4 linked regions of the Coturnix japonica genome follow. The protein of the gene in region 1 purifies or fractionates together with the protein of each later gene. This does not show direct contact. Links are inferred from orthologs where the notes say so. Each region holds a gene or a part of one and is shown on either strand. Other genes may lie near its edges.

What was found.
Region 2: the proteins of DHX8 (region 1) and NUDCD1 purify together in Homo sapiens (affinity purification with mass spectrometry; 3 studies listed by BioGRID and IntAct, counting the BioPlex papers as one, with this or other methods). This does not show direct contact. The link is inferred for Coturnix japonica from reciprocal best matches to the Homo sapiens genes DHX8 and NUDCD1.
Region 3: the proteins of DHX8 (region 1) and PPIE purify together in Homo sapiens (affinity purification with mass spectrometry; 3 studies listed by BioGRID and IntAct, counting the BioPlex papers as one, with this or other methods). This does not show direct contact. The link is inferred for Coturnix japonica from reciprocal best matches to the Homo sapiens genes DHX8 and PPIE.
Region 4: the proteins of DHX8 (region 1) and NKAP purify together in Homo sapiens (co-immunoprecipitation; 3 studies listed by BioGRID and IntAct, with this or other methods). This does not show direct contact. The link is inferred for Coturnix japonica from reciprocal best matches to the Homo sapiens genes DHX8 and NKAP.

What each region holds. Positions count from the first base shown.
Region 1 is NC_029542.1:2,949,766-2,954,173, reverse strand, and holds the start of DHX8 (ATP-dependent RNA helicase DHX8), read left to right. Parts: upstream 1-1,282; 5' UTR 1,283-1,328; coding exon 1,329-1,440; intron 1,441-1,976; coding exon 1,977-2,062; intron 2,063-2,256; coding exon 2,257-2,329; intron 2,330-2,584; coding exon 2,585-2,670; intron 2,671-3,146; coding exon 3,147-3,256; intron 3,257-3,356; coding exon 3,357-3,662; intron 3,663-3,889; coding exon 3,890-4,034; intron 4,035-4,384; coding exon 4,385-4,408.
Region 2 is NC_029517.1:119,473,639-119,477,615, reverse strand, and holds part of NUDCD1 (nudC domain-containing protein 1), read left to right. Parts: intron 1-1,843; coding exon 1,844-2,029; intron 2,030-3,482; coding exon 3,483-3,666; intron 3,667-3,977.
Region 3 is NC_029538.1:4,803,357-4,807,834, forward strand, and holds PPIE (peptidyl-prolyl cis-trans isomerase E), read right to left. Parts: upstream 3,172-4,478; 5' UTR 3,144-3,171; coding exon 2,919-3,143; intron 2,766-2,918; coding exon 2,667-2,765; intron 2,545-2,666; coding exon of another isoform or gene 2,501-2,544; intron 2,396-2,500; coding exon of another isoform or gene 2,369-2,395; intron 2,083-2,368; coding exon 2,001-2,082; intron 1,795-2,000; coding exon 1,694-1,794; intron 1,354-1,693; coding exon 1,230-1,353; intron 1,157-1,229; coding exon 971-1,156; intron 481-970; coding exon 338-480; intron 262-337; coding exon 193-261; 3' UTR 4-192; downstream 1-3. Other genes in the region: PABPC4 (polyadenylate-binding protein 4), read right to left, coding at 3,587-3,673, 3,761-3,891, 4,005-4,098, 4,219-4,346. UniProt on the Homo sapiens protein: Involved in pre-mRNA splicing as component of the spliceosome. Combines RNA-binding and PPIase activities.
Region 4 is NC_029519.1:15,371,207-15,375,770, forward strand, and holds the start of NKAP (NF-kappa-B-activating protein), read left to right. Parts: upstream 1-1,551; 5' UTR 1,552-1,566; coding exon 1,567-1,820; intron 1,821-2,080; coding exon 2,081-2,161; intron 2,162-2,619; coding exon 2,620-2,693; intron 2,694-2,886; coding exon 2,887-3,006; intron 3,007-3,131; coding exon 3,132-3,177; intron 3,178-3,554; coding exon 3,555-3,670; intron 3,671-3,812; coding exon 3,813-3,888; intron 3,889-4,374; coding exon 4,375-4,524; intron 4,525-4,564. Other genes in the region: ZBTB33 (transcriptional regulator Kaiso), read right to left, coding at 1,330-1,357. UniProt on the Homo sapiens protein: Acts as a transcriptional repressor. Plays a role as a transcriptional corepressor of the Notch-mediated signaling required for T-cell development. Also involved in the TNF and IL-1 induced NF-kappa-B activation.

The sequences.
Region 1 (4,408 bases):
ACTCCCCCCCCCCTTATCACCTTGGACTCTGAACCCAAGACCCCACATCCCCCCCTTCCCCCCCCCCAAAACCCCTCGAGGAACCCCACACCTCGAACCCCCTTTAATTCCCCATTCTCCCCCCCTCCCTCCTCCCACCCACGTTTCCCGAGGCCTCTGACTCTCAGGACACAGACCTGGCGGGTGAAGGCCTCGTTCGTACCCTCAGCCCCCAGCTCAGCTCCAATACCCCAAGACCCTCCGCCCCCTCCCACCCCACTCTCCTCCCGCAGCTCCCCTGACCTCCACATGAATCCTCGGCCTCCCACCCTACCGCGCATGCGTGCAACCTCAACACGCCCTCTCCCTATTGGCCCGCGCTTTCCACGAGGCATTCTGGGACTTGTAGTTCTTCGTTGTTATTGTAGTTACAGGGTAGGACACAACTCCCAGCGAGCTTCGCGGCGGTACCACATGCTGAGCAAGGCTGCTTCCTATTGGTTGTTTAGCTCGCTGATAGCAATGAGCCTCTGGGCCTGCAACCCCAGAGCCGGGCAGGCCCAGGCAGAGGAAGGAGCTTAATGCTTAACACAGACCATTGACATTGAGGCGCAGTGCTATTTTATTTAGCTCTTAGCTTTAGCTGACATGGCTCCTTGTGCTGTACACAGGCGGTGCTTTGCTCTGCTTGTTGTGGTCTGTGGTCCTCACCATTGCTGCATGTACTGAATAGCCTATAGATGCAAAGGGAAATTACTTTGGCTTCTAAACAGATGGATCTCAGCTCTTTGAGGCAGCTCCTTACCGTGAAGCGATTGGGCAGCCTGGCACTTGGGTTGGACGCTTGATGACTCGGGCAGCAGCAACGATACGGCTGAGGCTCTATAATAGGAACAAGGTAGAGCTGAGTAGAGCCCAGCCCGGCTCTCAGCCCTTCCTTTAACCCCAGGGCCGCTTTCTGCTCACCGGGAGGCAATGCCTGCGTCGGGCTGTTATCAATACCGTGCCTCGTATCCATTCTAGAGCAGCCCGCGGACTGCAAAGTACATATGGGGCTATAAGAGCCGCCCTAGCTCCGTTCCCCAGCCCTTCCCTCGCTCTACACACACCCGTATTAACGCGGCCCTGCGCCGCTCCAGCGCGGCCTGCCTTCGCCTCGCCTCCCAGTGCAAGGCCGACATGGCGGCGGCAAGCGTCGCCTAGCAACGGCCACTTCCGGCACCCCCCAGCGCTGATTGGATCCGGACAGAGCCGCTCTAGCTCTCTATCCTCTCTATGATCAGCTTGACTTCCGGTGCTTCCCGGATGCGGAAGTGGCTCCTGGTGTGTGGGGTGGGGGTGGGGGAAAGATGGCGGACCTGGCGGCTTTAGAGGAGCTCGCCAAGCTCGAGTATTTATCGCTGGTCTCTAAGGTCTGCACCGAGCTTGACAACCACCTGGGTATCAACGATAAGGATCTGGGTGAGTGAGGTGGGGTGATAGCTGTGGGGAGGTTGTAACCGGGCCTGACGGCCATGATGCCTTCAACGAAAGGCCTTTGGAATTGAGAAGAATAAAATATATCTCTAAAAGAAATATTATAAAACGTTTAGATGTGAGCGCCTAGAAGGGGATGCTGCTGTTCTGTAGGTAGATGGATCGATCTGGGTGCTGCCCTTGAACACCTTGGAGGTGTTCGAGACCAGGTTGGACAGGGCCCTGGGCAACCTGATCTATGGGATCTATGGGGTCTCTGTGGGGATCTATGGGGTCCATGGGGTCTCTATGGGGATCTATGGGGTCCATGGGGTCTATGGGGATCTATGGGGTCTCTATGGGGATCTATGGGGTCTCCTGGGCAACCTGATCTAGTAAATGTGTATGTTTGGTGGCCCTGCCAGGCAGGGGGGTTGGAACTACATGATCCTTGAGGTCCCTTCCAACCCGGGTCATTCTGTGATTCTGTGTGATTCTGTGCCCTTGTGCTATTTGATTCACTTTGTGCTCTTTCTTTGTAGCCGAATTTGTGATCAGCCTCGCCGAGAAAAACACGACGTTTGACACGTTTAAAGCCGTTCTGCTAAAGAATGGGGCTGAGTTCACAGTAAGTGAGATCTGAATGTGTTCTGTGTGTTCCTTTATCAAAGGGAGATATAGGGATTGGCTATACTGCAGGGCTATGCAATATTCAGCCTTTCAATCTTTGCCCTGTTGTTTACCCCCATATTGTGCTTTGTAATAATGACCAAAAGTGATGCTATCACCTCTTACATCTTAAACCTTCTATTCTGTTTGCAGGATTCCCTTATCAGCAACTTGTTGCGTCTCATACAAACGATGCGGCCTCCATCAAAACCATCTGCGAGTAAAGGTGAGTGAAGTCTTTTCTTTTCCCTTCCATCAGTTCAGTTAAAAAGAAACAAACCCAACCAAACTGTGCTCTCGAATCCTTTGCAGTTTGTGTCTTGTGTTTGCTGAGGGCAATATATTTAATATTCTAAAATAATAAGATCCGTATTAACCTCTATATGTGGCTGAAAGTTTAACATTCAATTTCAGAAAGGCTGAGATGAAATCATTTTGACTCTTACAAACTATCTGTTTGTTTTGTTCATCTCCAAATCAGAGGCCGTTACCAAACCCAAATCGGAAAAGGAAAGATTGAAGGAATTATTTCCAGCCCTTTGCAGGCCAGACAATCCCAACGTTAGGGTAAGGTCATCATTTCAGTTTCCTTTAATGAGTGTGTGAAAATGTAGTTTGTGGCTCTTTTGGTGTCTCTATTTCAGGTTTTTCTTCACGTTAGCATTTATATCTCCAGCCAAAGCGTGGATAAGAGCAGACTGAGAATTAAAACATCAATGAGCCCAAAGGCTGATATTATTGGATGTAATCCTTAGGAATAACTGTTACCAATAGTTACTTCTACAAACTTATATTCTGTAACTCAATAGTAATTTGAGGTGCTGGGTTGAAGGGATCCTTTATGTAGAAGCAGAATTGGTCCACTAATGTGGCAAAATAGCTTTATTACATTTAATATTTGTTCTTATCATGTATTCTGCCTGATCTTTTCTTTTAAGTTTGTGTTTCTGAATAGAAATGCATGAGATGATTTTTTGTAGGTGAATTCTCTGTGATGGATTTTTATCTCAGCTGTCTTATAGGATGATTCTCTGTTTTTGCAGACTATGCTGGATGAAGATGATGTGAAAGTGGCAGCAGATGCACTTAAAGAACTTGAAGCTCTGATGCCTAGTGCAGACAAGCAAAGCAAACAAAGGAGCAGTGACCACCGGTATGTTATTAGTTCATTTTTAAGGGACTGGATATTGGCAGTTAATGTCTACTTGCTCTTGTCGAATTTCAGTGTTAATATATTTTGTTTGTTTGTTAAGGGCAAAGAAAAAGAAAAGAAGCCGAAGCAGGAGCAGGGACAGGAAACGAAGGCACAGATCTCGCTCTAGGTCTCGTTCCAGGACTCGGGATAGGAACAGAGGTAAATCCAGATACTACTCGAGGAGCAGGAGTCGAAGTAGGGACCGTAGGGATCGAGACAAGTATATTGAGAAGAGCAATGAGAGATGGAGAGACAAGCACGTAGACCGTCCGCCACCTGAGGAGCCTTCCATTGGAGACATTTACAATGGGAAAGTCACCAGTATAATGCAGTTTGGGTGCTTCGTGCAGCTGGAAGGACTGAGGTATGTTATAATATTTACAATAAATCTGGTACCATTTTATCTCTACTTTTTTCTGTTGGGGTCTTAAAGAGGTTATGATGCTACAGTAGAGACTGTTAACTATTTTTACAAAGAACAGTGAACATCCACAGACAATCAGCTCACAACAAAATATTTTAATCCAGACTCTGAATGATCTGAAAGACCATCTGAGTAATAATGTTCAATGTCTCATGTTTTACCTACAGGAAGCGTTGGGAGGGCTTGGTCCACATCTCTGAGCTTCGAAGAGAAGGACGTGTTGCCAATGTTGCTGATGTTGTGAGCAAAGGACAAAGAGTGAAGGTCAAAGTGTTATCCTTTACTGGATCCAAAACGAGCCTGAGCATGAAGGTATGGAATTGTCACATCACACAGGATGTGGAATCCATTGTGTGGTGCCTAGTGTAGAAATTATGGGATGCTAAGATGTTTACAGTTTACGTTTCTTTTTGTTATCTTGTTACTGAATACTAACACGTAACCCTTCAAGTCAGATACAACTGTAACTCATTTTTAAGTGACTCATTATCTTCATTATATTCATTTTCTTTGGGTTCTTTTGTGTGTGTTTCTGATGTAATAATCCAAATAGGTGTTTTTGATTTGACACTCATCTGAATGACTGACGAAACTTTAAGCTGTTGCTATGCTTGCCCAGATGCAACGTAGATAGAGCTGACTAATTAATCTATCTGATGTAGGATGTTGATCAAGACACTGGGGAA
Region 2 (3,977 bases), on another chromosome or scaffold:
CAATCCTTCTGAATCAAATATACTTTCATCTATCAGTAATGAAAAGAAGTCCAGAATTGTATAGTTATCAGCTAATTTGAATACTCTATAGCCTGTTACACCAGCACATAGCAGAGTGGAACAATCCCTTCCCTTGCCTGGCTGGCAGTGCTGGGCCTGATGTACCCCAGGGCATGGTTGGTCCTTTTGGCTGCCAGGGCACACTGCTGACTTGTATTCAGCTTCAATCAACCAGAACTCTCATATCCCTTGCTGTGGGGCTGCTCTCCTGCTTCTCATTCCCCAGCCTGTACAAAGTCAGGTTTGCCCTGTTCCAGGCACAGAATTTGGCACTTCCTCTTGTTCAGCTTCATATAGGTGATGATTGCCCAGCCTTCTAATTTGTCAGCAGCTCTCTACAAGTTCTCTTTACTTTCAAGTGTTGACAGTTCCTCCCATTTTTGTGTTATCTGCAGACTTACTTAATACTAGTGAGCAGCAAAAGGAAGATTAGAAGAGCATTTTCTTTCTTTCCTTTGAGCTGGGAGGCTTTGTGATGTGAAGACTTTTTTAATTAAAGTTTTCAGAATTGTTGACTCCTGTCACTCCACTTCAGTGTTGATAAGTGTAATGAGGGCTTTAGAAGATTAAATGATCGACAGTTGATAGTTCTTTAAAACACAATTACATCAATAACTATTTGAAGCTTACTGTTATGATTCACTTGAAGGCTGTCAGAAGTGTGGTCTTCTATGGTGTTGCATAGAATATGCCTGTAATTTGTAGTTCTGGGGCTGAAGCTTTTTCTTTCCGCAATTTTCGTTCTTTTTTCCCATTCGCATCAGTCACTTCTTACCATGGAATGGTAAGAAATATCAGAAAATACTGCCTTTCAGTAAAACCTTAAGAAATTCAAGCAGAAAATGAGGATGTCGGAAATGCTTGGGTGTAGAGTGTGGTTTTTTTTCTTCCTTTGTTTATAATTCTTTCATTCAATCTTTCTGAATGTGTTCTAAATTAGGTGAATAACTGAAGGGTTGTAGTGATGCAACTGAATCTACAGAGTGATCCTGAATGCTACTAGAAATTATAAATCTAATTTGCATCTTTTCTATTGCAGATTTCAGAGTCGTAGAGAAAAGTAATCTCTAATACAAATTCAAGTAGATCCAGAAGACAGTCAGGCTATCTGTTTGTCATCTGGTCTTTTTCAGTGATGCTTATTAAAATGGTACTTACCCAAATCCAGTTTAGCTTGCCTTACTTTGAACATGTTCTAGATGCATATCTGATTTTAATACCATTTGGAAAATACGATAGATTTGAAATCGTCTCTAATACGATAGTCTCAAGTCTATGTCATGCTTGTATGCACGAATGTGGTCTTTCTGTGTTGTATATGTGTGCACAAGTTGAGTAAGAAAGAGGGTTAAAGTTTGTTTTAGTTTAGAAGTCAGTGTAAATTAACTTTTTTTTGTACATTTCTATGGCTTTTATTTCATTTAAGGTCTCCAGGTTCTTAGTGGGATTAAAACTGTGAGGTGAGTGATAAATTCTATGGGAATGTTAGGAAAAAAGAAGTAAAAAACTTTTAAATGCAAAATGTAAATTAGTGCTGTGAATTTGAAGGGAAAAAAATGGTGTTGAAATACCAATTATAAAACACTTAAGTTTTCAGTAAACAGACTGAATACTGAAATTCTACCACCTCTTCCTCATATGTGGAAGTGATGCTTGGCTACCTACATTTTTCCTAATAGGCTCAATTACATGAGCTGACTGGTGAATTGCTGTTGAAGTTTGTTGTTCATTTTTCTGCAATGCTGAAATTGATTAGTACTTCATAAAGTGACTCTGCTTACAGGACACTGCTCTCCAAAAACCAAGAGAAGTTTTCAGGCTACCTACAGATTTGACAGCTTATGATGATCGCCTTTGTGCCTCAATGTACTTCTCATCTTCCACATGGGTTACCATTTCTGATGGAACAGGAAGACTATATTTAATTAAGTCAGGCAAGCGTGGAAACAGTGCATCGGAAAAATGGGAGGTAAGTCTTAAAATAGCACATTAAGAATTGTATATTTACCAAATAATTCTTACTCCTGCACTTAATAGGAGAATTGCATGCATATAATGTTATGAAAAACGAAGCTTTCAATCTTAACTCTGTGGTTGATATTGGGCTGTGTCCAAACATAAAGATCATGTGAATTATTTCTTGAAGTGAAAGAAAAAAATCTGTAAAATTCAAATGGTTGAATGGAAACAGCAAACAGCCTTTTTACGGGAAAAGAATCTGTCTGAAGAGAGCGAGTGTTTCTAAATAGGTGACTGCACACCTGTCAAGCTGAACTTATAATAAGAACCATTTTCCCTTTCCCTTCTCTATTCTTATGGGTCAGCCTAAGTTTTCCTTCCACTATCACATTATTTCTTCTGACCCATGGAATAATAAGTACGTTTTAAAATGCCTGAAATTATTGTCAAGCTAAATGCTACTTTTCATTTTGTTAGAGGGTTTCTAGATCACTTGTGCTGATGTAATTGCATTTGAAATGTTCATCATTTTAATTTGACCTGTCTTAAAAGTGTGTCCATGGTGAATAAAATAAAAATTAAAGAAAACTGATGATTAAAAACCTTTTATAAGTAGCCCCGAGGGCTTTATGCAGAGTAGGTATAATCTAAATTGTAATATTTCCACCTCTCTGGGAGAGAAATTTTTCATGCTGTACACTTAGCTCTGGAGAATTATTGGTGCTTAGTATTTTTTATTTAACTTTGTGGTTGTAACTGAAGCACGTTTCTCATTAAATAGGTTACAAAATCACTTACTTTAAACCATCTTGAGAAGGAGCGTTTCTGATATCCACGGAGCAGTGGTGTTTCCATAGCAATAATGCTATTAGTTCTACAAAACAAATGTAGTTATGGTACATTTCTGCTTCAGCTGCTATAAGTTTTGGTCTGTTGTTTCTCTTTATTTCTGAAGGATGAATTTGATATTAAAGTACCACATTTTTCATGCAACTTTTTAATTAGAGGATAGTTTTATACACAGCCAAGGAGCTTTTAATATTGGCAGGAAGTCAAACATATACCTGGAAGTGGAGGATTTCTACATGGTGGAATAACTCCTTCCCCTGTACAATTTGAAAGTTCAGTCAAAAGGAAGCCAGTTACCCTGTTCTGTAGTGCAGATATTTTTGTAGAGTTTTGTGCTTGATCTAGTGGACCATTTTAATGATTCTATCATATAAACAGTAATAAAAAGGACACTTTCTTGATAGCTAAGGAAGGAACTGCTAGAAATACATAGAATAGTTCTGCTAGAAGAGAACTTCAGGTCACACACCAACTGTGTGACCACTTCAGGGCTAACCAAAAGTTAATGTGATTTGTGGCGAGCATATTTAATTAATTGATTTAATGTTCTCTGAAGCTTTCACTAATTTTTGAGTTTTAACTGACTAACCTTTTTCTACCATTTTGCCTTCCAGACTGTGTTTAGTGAAGAACTAGGCAGTCCATTCGTTATAGTACACAGTGTTTCATTTGTAAAATCTGATAAACATTCAATAGCTGTGCTACTGCTCAGGGTAGAAAAAGATGAATTGGACACAAAAGGAAGTGGATTTCATATTACTTTGGAATGGGTTACATTTGTAGAGATGAACAAAGCGGGTAAGTGTTTTATATTTATGTTATTAGTAGGTAAGGGGAAAAAAACTAAAACCAAACAAACAAAAAAAACAAAACAAACAAACAAAAAAAAACAAAAACTGCAAAAGAAAAACAGCTATTATGCTTTCATTAATTGTTTTGGATGTTGATTGTTCCTCAATTTCTGATGTTTGCATCCCAACAAAACCCTCATCACACTTTAAATTCAAGTTCTCACTTGTAGACCTGCAGTATGACAAACATTTGGAGGACAGGAAGGAGTCAATTTCTGCATGTGTATAGTTAAGGCGATTAGAAAACAAGCTAGGAAT
Region 3 (4,478 bases), on another chromosome or scaffold:
TCGTTCTTATAAAACCAGGTTTTATTATTTCTGCCAAACATAACAAGTCTTTACCCAGCGCGTGGCAGACACTGGCAGCACCGGGCAGCGCACACACCATGTACCTGCAGCAGCCACCTGCCCGCTCACTGCACAGCACTGCTGCAGGCGTGGGGACCAACCCTTGCAGGGACAGCTGGGTCACTGCTGCAGTCACACACACTCCCCACAGTCGGAGATTATCACCTTCTGCTTTGGCTTCCCATCCTTGGTGCCCTGAGCCTGCAGAAGGGGAATGAAGGCTTAAAGATGGTGGTGGGGGGTGGGCACACACAGCCCCCCTCACCCCAGCACCAACCTCAATCTGCCGCACCACGTCCATGCCCTCTGTCACCTCCCCAAACACCACGTGCTTCCCGTCCAGCCAGTCGGTTTTATCACAAGTGATGAAGAACTGGGAGCCGTTGGTGTTCGGGCCGGCGTTGGCCATGGACAGCAACCCTGGGACCAAACAGGGCAGCATTACTGGGAGCAACGCCAATAATTAACTAACCCCCCCCCCCGGGCTGAGCAGACACTGCTGGCTTTAAGAGAGTCTCTGAATATTGGAACTGCGGGAAGTTGATGATGCCAAGAAACACCTCCGGGTATGAACAGAGTGAAGTGGTAGAGAGCATTAATCTATTTTTAACTGTAGCAACAGCAAAGCTTTGGAGATCAGCCTGCTTGCTTTCTGCCACCTTTCCAATGCTCACAGTTAGACTGCACTGCTCCTGCCATAAAGCCCAACAGAAAAGCAGCTTTGAAATTCTCCATGATATGAGACTGGAAATTAACAGCGTGGGGGTAGAAATAGGGGGCAGCATTTCTGCCCACTGAATGCTGTGGGCACACTGCAGTCTGCTCCAGGTGCTGCACCAACACAGACCGGCCCTGGGGCTGCTGCTGTGTGGTCAGAGCAGCTCGAGGTGCCCCACAAACCCCACCCTACCTGGTCCCGTGTGCTTCAGGATGAAGTTTTCATCATCAAACTTCTTCCCATAGATGGATTTTCCTCCGGTGCCGTTGTGGTTGGTGAAGTCCCCAGCCTGGCACATGAACTGGGGGATGATGCGGTGGAAGCTGCTCCCCTTGAAGCCAAAGCCTTTCTCCTGGGTGCAGAGGCAGCGGAAGTTTTCTGTTCAAGGCAAAGGGCAGAGGTGAGCACAGCACTGCAGCCTGTGGGCCACAGTGACAGCAGCGCTGCTCACCTACAGTCATGGGCACCACGTCGGAGCGCAGCAGGATCTTGAGCCGCCCTGCAGGTTTGTTGCCAATCTTGATGTCCATGTAAACTTGGGGGTTGGCCCGGGACTTCTTGGCAGGAGGCTCACCCTATGCGAGGAGAAGGTACACTATGCTGCCACTGCTCAGCTCTGCCACCCAATGGCCAGGCTGACCCCAGCCTGCAGCACAGTGCCAGCAGCAGATCCAGCTCCAGAAGTCCCTGGAGGCAGCATGAAGCAACAGGAGGCTTCTCACAGCCTGGGGGCTGCTGCAGGGTGCAGCTGAAACACACGGCTCCCTATGGGCTCACGGAGCTTTTGGGAGCACAGGGACTGACAGGGCCACAGCTCACTCCTGGCTCTCAAAGCTGACAGCACCCAGTTCCCCATGTGGCCATTCCCCATTCCAAGGCACTCAGCAGGACACAACCAGCTCCATCCATCCCTACCTCCTGTGTCTCTGGTTTGGGTGCCTCTGTTCCTCCTTCCTCTGCGTTCTCCTCCAGGGTCTTTCCTGAGAACCTCTTCAGCCACTCATCATCTGACCACACTGCAGCAAGGGAGGGCAGGATGAGAGCAGGGCGCTGAGCCCAGGGCCATACACGACTCTGGACTCAGCACAGCTCCAGAAGCAGCAGGACTGTAACCCAGGGTGCTGCTGGCCCAACCACCCCCAGAACTGCATGTGGTCACCCCACATCATGGGGACACAGGGACAGAGCCAGCAGCTCCCCCAGGTGAGGGGTACCAACTTACCCGGCCGAGACGATCCTTCTTTAATTCGCATTGGTTTGGCCAAGTTCACTCGAATCGTCCGACCAAAGAGCTCAGACTCATTCTACAGAGGACAAAAAAGCACAAAACCCACCACAAGGTAAAAACTCACTGTGTCCCCTCTGCAGAGAACGGGGCTGTTTTTTTTCTGAGCACTACACGCAGTTCAGGAGCTGCACTGAGCCACAGGCAGCACCAACAGCACCAGCAAAGCAGGGCCGGCATCACAGCTCCGGGATCAGCAGGTCTGCAGCGTCACCAGCACAGAAACACCAAGTGTCCGGGCAGGGCTGAGCCCCGGGGACAGGGCAGGGCAGGGCTCCAGGACTCTGTGATTGTGTGACTCGTACCATGTTGTCAATGGCCGCAGCCGCATCCTGCGTGAAGAGCGACAGGCTCCGTTACACACACGGCGCCCTCTGCCTCTAAAGGCCCCAATGCCCCAACGGGAGACACTCACACCCCGACCCCCACCCCCTCACCTCCGCCAGCTCGAACTCCACGAAGGCGAATCCGCGGTGCTTCTCTGCCAGCAAACAGCCCGGTCACAGCCCGGTCACAGCAGTTACAGCCCGGTCACAGCCCGGTTACACCGGTTACAGCCCGGTTACAGGCCGGTCACATCCCGGTCCCCGCCCCGCCACGCACCGGTCTCGTAGTCCAGCGGGATCTGGATGTCGGTGATGTCGCCGAACGGGATGAAGGCGGCGTGCAGCACCTTCTCGTCCACCTCCTCCGCCAGCCCGCCTGCGGCACACAGCGTTACGGACACACAGCGTTACGGACACACAGCGTTACGGACACACAGCGTTACGGACACACAGCGTTACGGACACACAGCATTATGGCCCACAACACCGTTACGGCCCCTCTCGCCTCCCCGCCGCCCGCCCCACTCACCCACGTACAGCACCCTCTTGGTGGCCGCCATCTTGCCGCCCCACCCCGGAAGTTCGGGCATATCCCGCCCTTCCGCCCAGCGCCGCCCCGGCAGCGCCCCCTGGCGGCGGGGAGGGACGAACCCCCGAACCAGCCCAAAGTGACAAAACTAAAGAGAAACGTGACAAACGCTGAGAAAGTTTTTATTCCTCCATTGCCAAACGATTTTCCAGAACTCTCCAACATGGGCCGTTAAAACCAAAACCACAAAATGCTTTTGTCAACCAGAAACCTTCAAAGTCCTGCATAGAAAAGACTTAAACTCTGCTCACAAAGGAAAAGCTCACAGACTCCATCCAGGCTTTGGGCAGCCAGAGTCGCTCGGTGAGATCCCAAGGGTTAATTACAAAATGCAATAGAACTACGTGATACGGCGCGTGGCATCGAGTCCTGCAGGGCTGCAGCCTCCTCCAGCCGCTGGCTGTGACAGGGGCTGTGACAGGGGCTGTGACAGGGGCTGTTTGGCTTCATTGCATCCTGCAGGGAAAGGAGGAAGATGTTCTGAAGAACTGGCTCCACTCAGACAAGCTCCCACACCAACAACGCCCAGTAACTGCCTGGTTTTATTTACCAAACCTGGAAGCTTTGAATTGAAGCTGAGCACTGAGACACTCACCTGCCCTCCTGGCTTAAGAGGTAGCAGCAACCACACCCACCTTCTGGGCAGCTTCTTTCTTGGCTTGGTGAGCCTGCAGCACTGCAACAGCCTCCTCCACCTGCGGGCAAGAAGATGAGCCAGTAAGAATTCTCTCCCAACCAAAGGGACACACAGTTTGGCCTACAAGGGAACGGGCCGGCTTTACCTTTGAGCGGAGGGACTCTGGAGACTCCAACATGTGCAGCAGCTCCGAGTTGTCAATCTCCAGCAGCATTCCTGTGATCTTCCCTGCAAGGCTGGGGTGCATAGCTTGAATAAGAGGGAACAAACGTTCTCCTAGAAAAAAAAAAAAGGATTTCAGACAGCAGTTTTAATTTAGAAGCTGTCAATGAAACCTCAGGACATTCCCAAAGTAAAATGCAATCTGGAAGAACCTGAGTTTCACTTACCCAGCATCTGTTTCTGCTCCTGGGGAGGGGCAGCAGCCAGCATGGAGGCTGTTAGTGGCTCCTGTCCCTGCACGTGTACTGCAGGCTGAGGTGCCTATAGAAGGGCAGACAGGAGGATGCAAAAATAGATGCTGTGCTGTTTCTGCAAAAACTCTTCAGCTGCATGTCAAACCTGTTGGCCTGCAGCTGCTTCAGGCACAGATCCTTGTGTTACCTGCAAAGGCTGTACAGGTGGGTGTGGGCTGCGGACACTTGAGGCATATTTATAAGGGGGAACTGCTCTGGGAGCAGGAGCAGCCACAGGTGGACGAGGAGCCAAGTTCTGTCCTGCAGTGGTAACACCTGCAAGAGAAGAGAGCAGGATCAAAACCACCATAGGAATGTGCAGCAAGTAACCTGAGGTATCTTAATTACTGCTAAATTCAAACTATGCTCTGCACAGGCCAATATTTGCTTAGGAACTGGTCTCCAAAT
Region 4 (4,564 bases), on another chromosome or scaffold:
CGGAGCCACGAGCCGAGCGGCTTCGGCTGCCGACGGGAGCGCGTGGGCCGCGGGTGATGCCGCCTCCATCGAGGCCTCGGGCGGCCACGTCCGGCATTGACGCTGCGCTCCCGCTGCCCGGCTCTGCCCACCCCGTACCCTGCATTGGAGCGTGTGCGACAGCCATGTGCGGGCACACACCGGGCAGTCTCCTGGACACAGTGTGTGTGAGTGCTCTGCAGTGTTCTCACAGAGAACCCGAGCTCATGGCACGTTTTATCTGCGGTTCCTGATCTGTTTGATCCTACAGACTTTGCAGGAACTCACAGGAGAACCTACAGCTAAAGACAAGCACTGGTTTGGAAGGAGCAGTGCTCTGGGGTTCCCAAAACCAAGCTGTGAACTGCTTTACCATTCGGCCTTGCAAGGCCTCTTGCAGATCAGCCTCCAAAGTGTTTGGGGATTGAACAAGCATACAAACGTATACAGTGACAAGTTAAATGAAGCATGTTTTTCTAAGATGTGGACGTGTAGAGCACACAACAAGAGGTGGTGTTCAGTGGGTAAGAACACAAAGCAACTGTATTTTGATGCATGGAAATGATCCAAAAGGAGCCGCCTCAGCGCTGGGCACCACGTTGAGCTGGGGCTGCACCCACGATGGCAGAGCCCCGGCTGCACCTCTGGGTGCCTTTAATGGCTGCAGGGACGGGGCCCAGCACCAGCAATGTGGGTTAGCAGCAACCAGCTCTGCCTGTCGGTGTCGTAACCTTGTGTGCCGTGTGGGGATGCAGGGCCGGGTGGAGGGGGCAGGGCTGCGTTCCGGGATCCTCCCGAGATGGGAAGCACGGAACGAGCATTTGAGGCAGTACGGATTCAGCTGGCAGAGTGACAGGCACTGCAGCTTCCACCTGCCTCATCCACATCACCCTGCCCACAGCAGGCGTAAAAAACAGCCGTGTAAATAACAGCCGTGTAAAGAACAGCCGTGTAAATAAGAGCCGTGTAAGTAAGAACCGTGTAAATAAGAGCCGTGTATGTGCCCCGCGCTCCCACAGCCGCAGCATGGCGGCAGCGGGCCCGTGAAACCTGGGGCGGCAGCCGGTGTGCGGGAGCGGGGCCGGGCTGCGCTGACAGCCGCTCTGACAGCGGCGGGGCCGGACCGAGCCGGGATGGCCGCGAGAGCAGCGCGGGCTGATGTGCCGGCCGGCACCGGGCATCGGGCACCGGGGATCGCGGCCCGGCGAGCGCTCCCCCTCGCTCGGTGCTCACCCGGCCCCGCACCGCCGTCCCCCGGCCGCTCCCGGCTGCAGGCCGCTCCCGGTGCGCCGTCCGCCCGCGCCGCCTTACCTGGCCGCGGCTGTGCCCGCGCCTCCATGGTGCCGGGCGGTGACAAAGGAGCGGCCCCGCCGCCGTGTCGCCGTGTTTCCGCACGGCCGGTGGGGCACTGCGCCCCGCGGGCGGGGCTGCCCCGCTTCCGCCCCGCGCCCCGTCGCCGCCGCCTCCCGCCCCCGTCCGAGCAGCGCAGCGCGGCCCGGCGGCCGTCGGAAGTGCCGTCAGGCCGCCCGGAAATGCCGCCGCGCCATCATGGCGCCGGTGTCGCGCTCCCGCAGCCCGGCCGCCGCCAGCCCCGAGCGCCGCGGCCGCCGCTCCCGCTCCCGGTCCCGCTCCCGGTCCCGTAACGGATCGCGGCGCGGCTGCCACCGGCGGAGCCGCAGCTGGTCCCGATCCCGGGAGCGCAGCCCCGGCGGGACTCGAGCCTCCGCGCACCACGGGCACCACCACGGCAAGGCCTGGCCCGAGTACTACGAGAAGGAGAAGGAGGAGATCCTGCGGCAGAGGCCAGTACCAACGCGGGAACGGGGAACGGGCAACGGGCGGGTCTGCGGGCTCTCCCTGCTTGAGGCTGGGAGCCGCCGGCGCTGCACGAGCCTCTGGGTGCCGGGCTGGACTCTGCCCGCTCGGCCTGCGGGCGTGGGTTGGGCTGAGGTTGTTATTGAAGTCCCGTTCTCACGCTGTTATGGGCAGTGGGACATGCCCGCAAGCAGCTGCTCGCTGGGTGCGACGTGTCAGCGTCCAGTAACGGTGTGCTTCATTCCAGGAGACTCAATGAGAGGGAGAGAATCGGAGAGCTGGGAGCACCTGAAGTCTGGGGGCTTTCGCCAAAGGTTCCTGACCCTGAGTAAGGCACAGTTTTGCTTCTCACTCTGTTTTTTATGATATCAATTCTAGAGGAATTTACAATAACGCATGAGTCCTCTGGTGCCACAATTCATTGTGTCAGAAGCATCTGAACCAACATAAGCAAACAGACGTTATTCAGATAATCCCATCACATCAGTTACTCAAGACATGACGCAATTACATGATTTCCCATGGCAGGGGGTTGAAACTGGATGATTGTTATGGTCCTTTTCAACCCAGGGCATTCTATGATACATTCTATACTGTGATAGGTGCCTTTTCTGCTGTGGTTCTGAAAACAGTTGCTGTCTCGCACGCTGGCCATTGCACAGTTTGCTCTGTTGCAAGTAGTGGCTCAAAATCCACAAGCACGTGTTTCAGTGTATGTGTGCATCTGATCTTCAGTTACTAAATACTACAAAATAGATCTTAAAAAGCAAACTTGTTTTTCTTCAGTTCTGATGAGCACACGCCAGTAGAAGACGAAGAGGCAAAATCCAAGAGCAGCTCTTCGGATTCCAGCTCGGAAGGTATTTGGCTTTGTTTATACAGCTCATTTTGATAACCAGTCGCTACCTAGAAACTGCTGTTGTTGCTGTCAGGAAGTTCACTGACTTGGGTTGAAGTGAGTGTGATAGGCCCTGTTGCTTTGGGATGCTCCAGATGTATACACGGAACTAAGTCTTCATCTTTTTCTAATGTTATCTTTTATAAACATTCCAGAGGAAAAAAGGAAGAAGAAGAAGAAGCGAAAGAAGAGAAAACGGAAGGCGTCCAAACGGAAACACAGAAAACATTCTGAGGACAGTGACAGCGAGTCCGAGTCCGACCAGAGCTCCAGTGGTAAGGGAGAACAAATGATGTCCAAGCTGTGTATTGAGATGTTCTGGTGGAGGCATTAACTAATTCACAGTGTATGCTTTTTGATGATGCATAATCTTCCCTTTTTTTTGTTTTTTGTTTTTCAGATGAAGATAAAAAGAAAAGCAAAAGGAAGAAAAGGAAGCACAGGAAGTAAGTTTCCAAGCTGTGAAGTATAATTGCATCTACTTTTAAGCGCAGTCTTAGCAGGAACGGAGGGAAGCTGAGCGCTCCTGTAATTAGAGCTGTAAATGCAGGTGGATAATCATAATTTGACTGGCATCAAATGTACAGAATCCCAGAGCACAGAGAGATCCTTGAAACACAGGGAGCCGCTTTCGAGCGCTGTATGAAAGCCATAACAGTGGATGTGTTGTCTTTGTTTAACTATCGGTTGTTTTCAATCAAACAGCAATGTAAATGCAGACTGTCCTTGGTGGAAGGTATCTTGAGAAACTCATAACTTGAGTATGACTCCTAGCACGTTTTTTTATCTTAAATGCTGGTGGATAACTTGGGTGTTATTGCAGGAAGAAGTACAAGAAAAAGAAAAATAAAAAGAGCCGGAAGGAATCCAGTGATTCCAGCAGTGAAGATTCTGATGATGGAACAGTTCAAGGGGAGGATCTCTGGATTGAGAGATCAAGTAGGTGCCCGTAGATTTGTCTTGAAACTTCTTGGTGTTCTTTTCATGCTTTTTTTTTTTTAAGTGTTTGCTGCCTTGTTGACTGCTCTGATAACAAAGAAGAGGCACAGTATTGATCTGCTTCACTATTTGATCATTGCAGAAAATACAGAAGCTGATAGCTTGATTGGACCAGAAGCTCCCAAAACACATGCGTCTCAAGATGATAGGCCTTTAAAGTGAGTACTCTAAATGGTACCTTGATTGAGTCAAGTAAATCTAGCATAAAGATTTCTGCTCAGAAAGACCTAAAATAATATGATTTATATCAAGAGGGATGCTGTACCAGAAACTAAGAAGTGGTAGTGGTGCTAGTCTTTACTCTGACCTGAGTTTAAGTAGAAAAGTCTGTTTTACGCATTTTAGCCTGGGTTCGTAGAAAATTAATTGGTTTTTACTTCAGTAAAGTGCCTTTACTCTAATGCTCTGCAGAGCTGTGACTTCATACAGCCTTCATTACTGGTTAACCAGAATTTATTAAACTGCTTACTTAAAATGTTCTTGCTGAGATTAGCTGTAAGTATGAAATGGGAACGTACTTGGGAAATAGTAAGGAAGTCCTTAAAATGTAGCTGGTAGTGACTGGGGGAGCTGGATGTTTGGCTCAGGCTCACTCTAGTTGAGACTGATTAAAATCCCTCCTGTTTGTCTCTCTGTTTCTTTAGCTATGGGCACGCCCTGTTGCCGGGTGAAGGTGCAGCAATGGCAGAGTATGTAAAAGCAGGAAAACGCATTCCTCGGAGAGGTGAGATTGGCTTGACCAGTGAAGAAATTGCATCGTTTGAGAGCTCCGGTTACGTGATGAGCGGCAGCAGGTATGTTTCTTATGATGGTAATATTTCAGTAACATTTTCC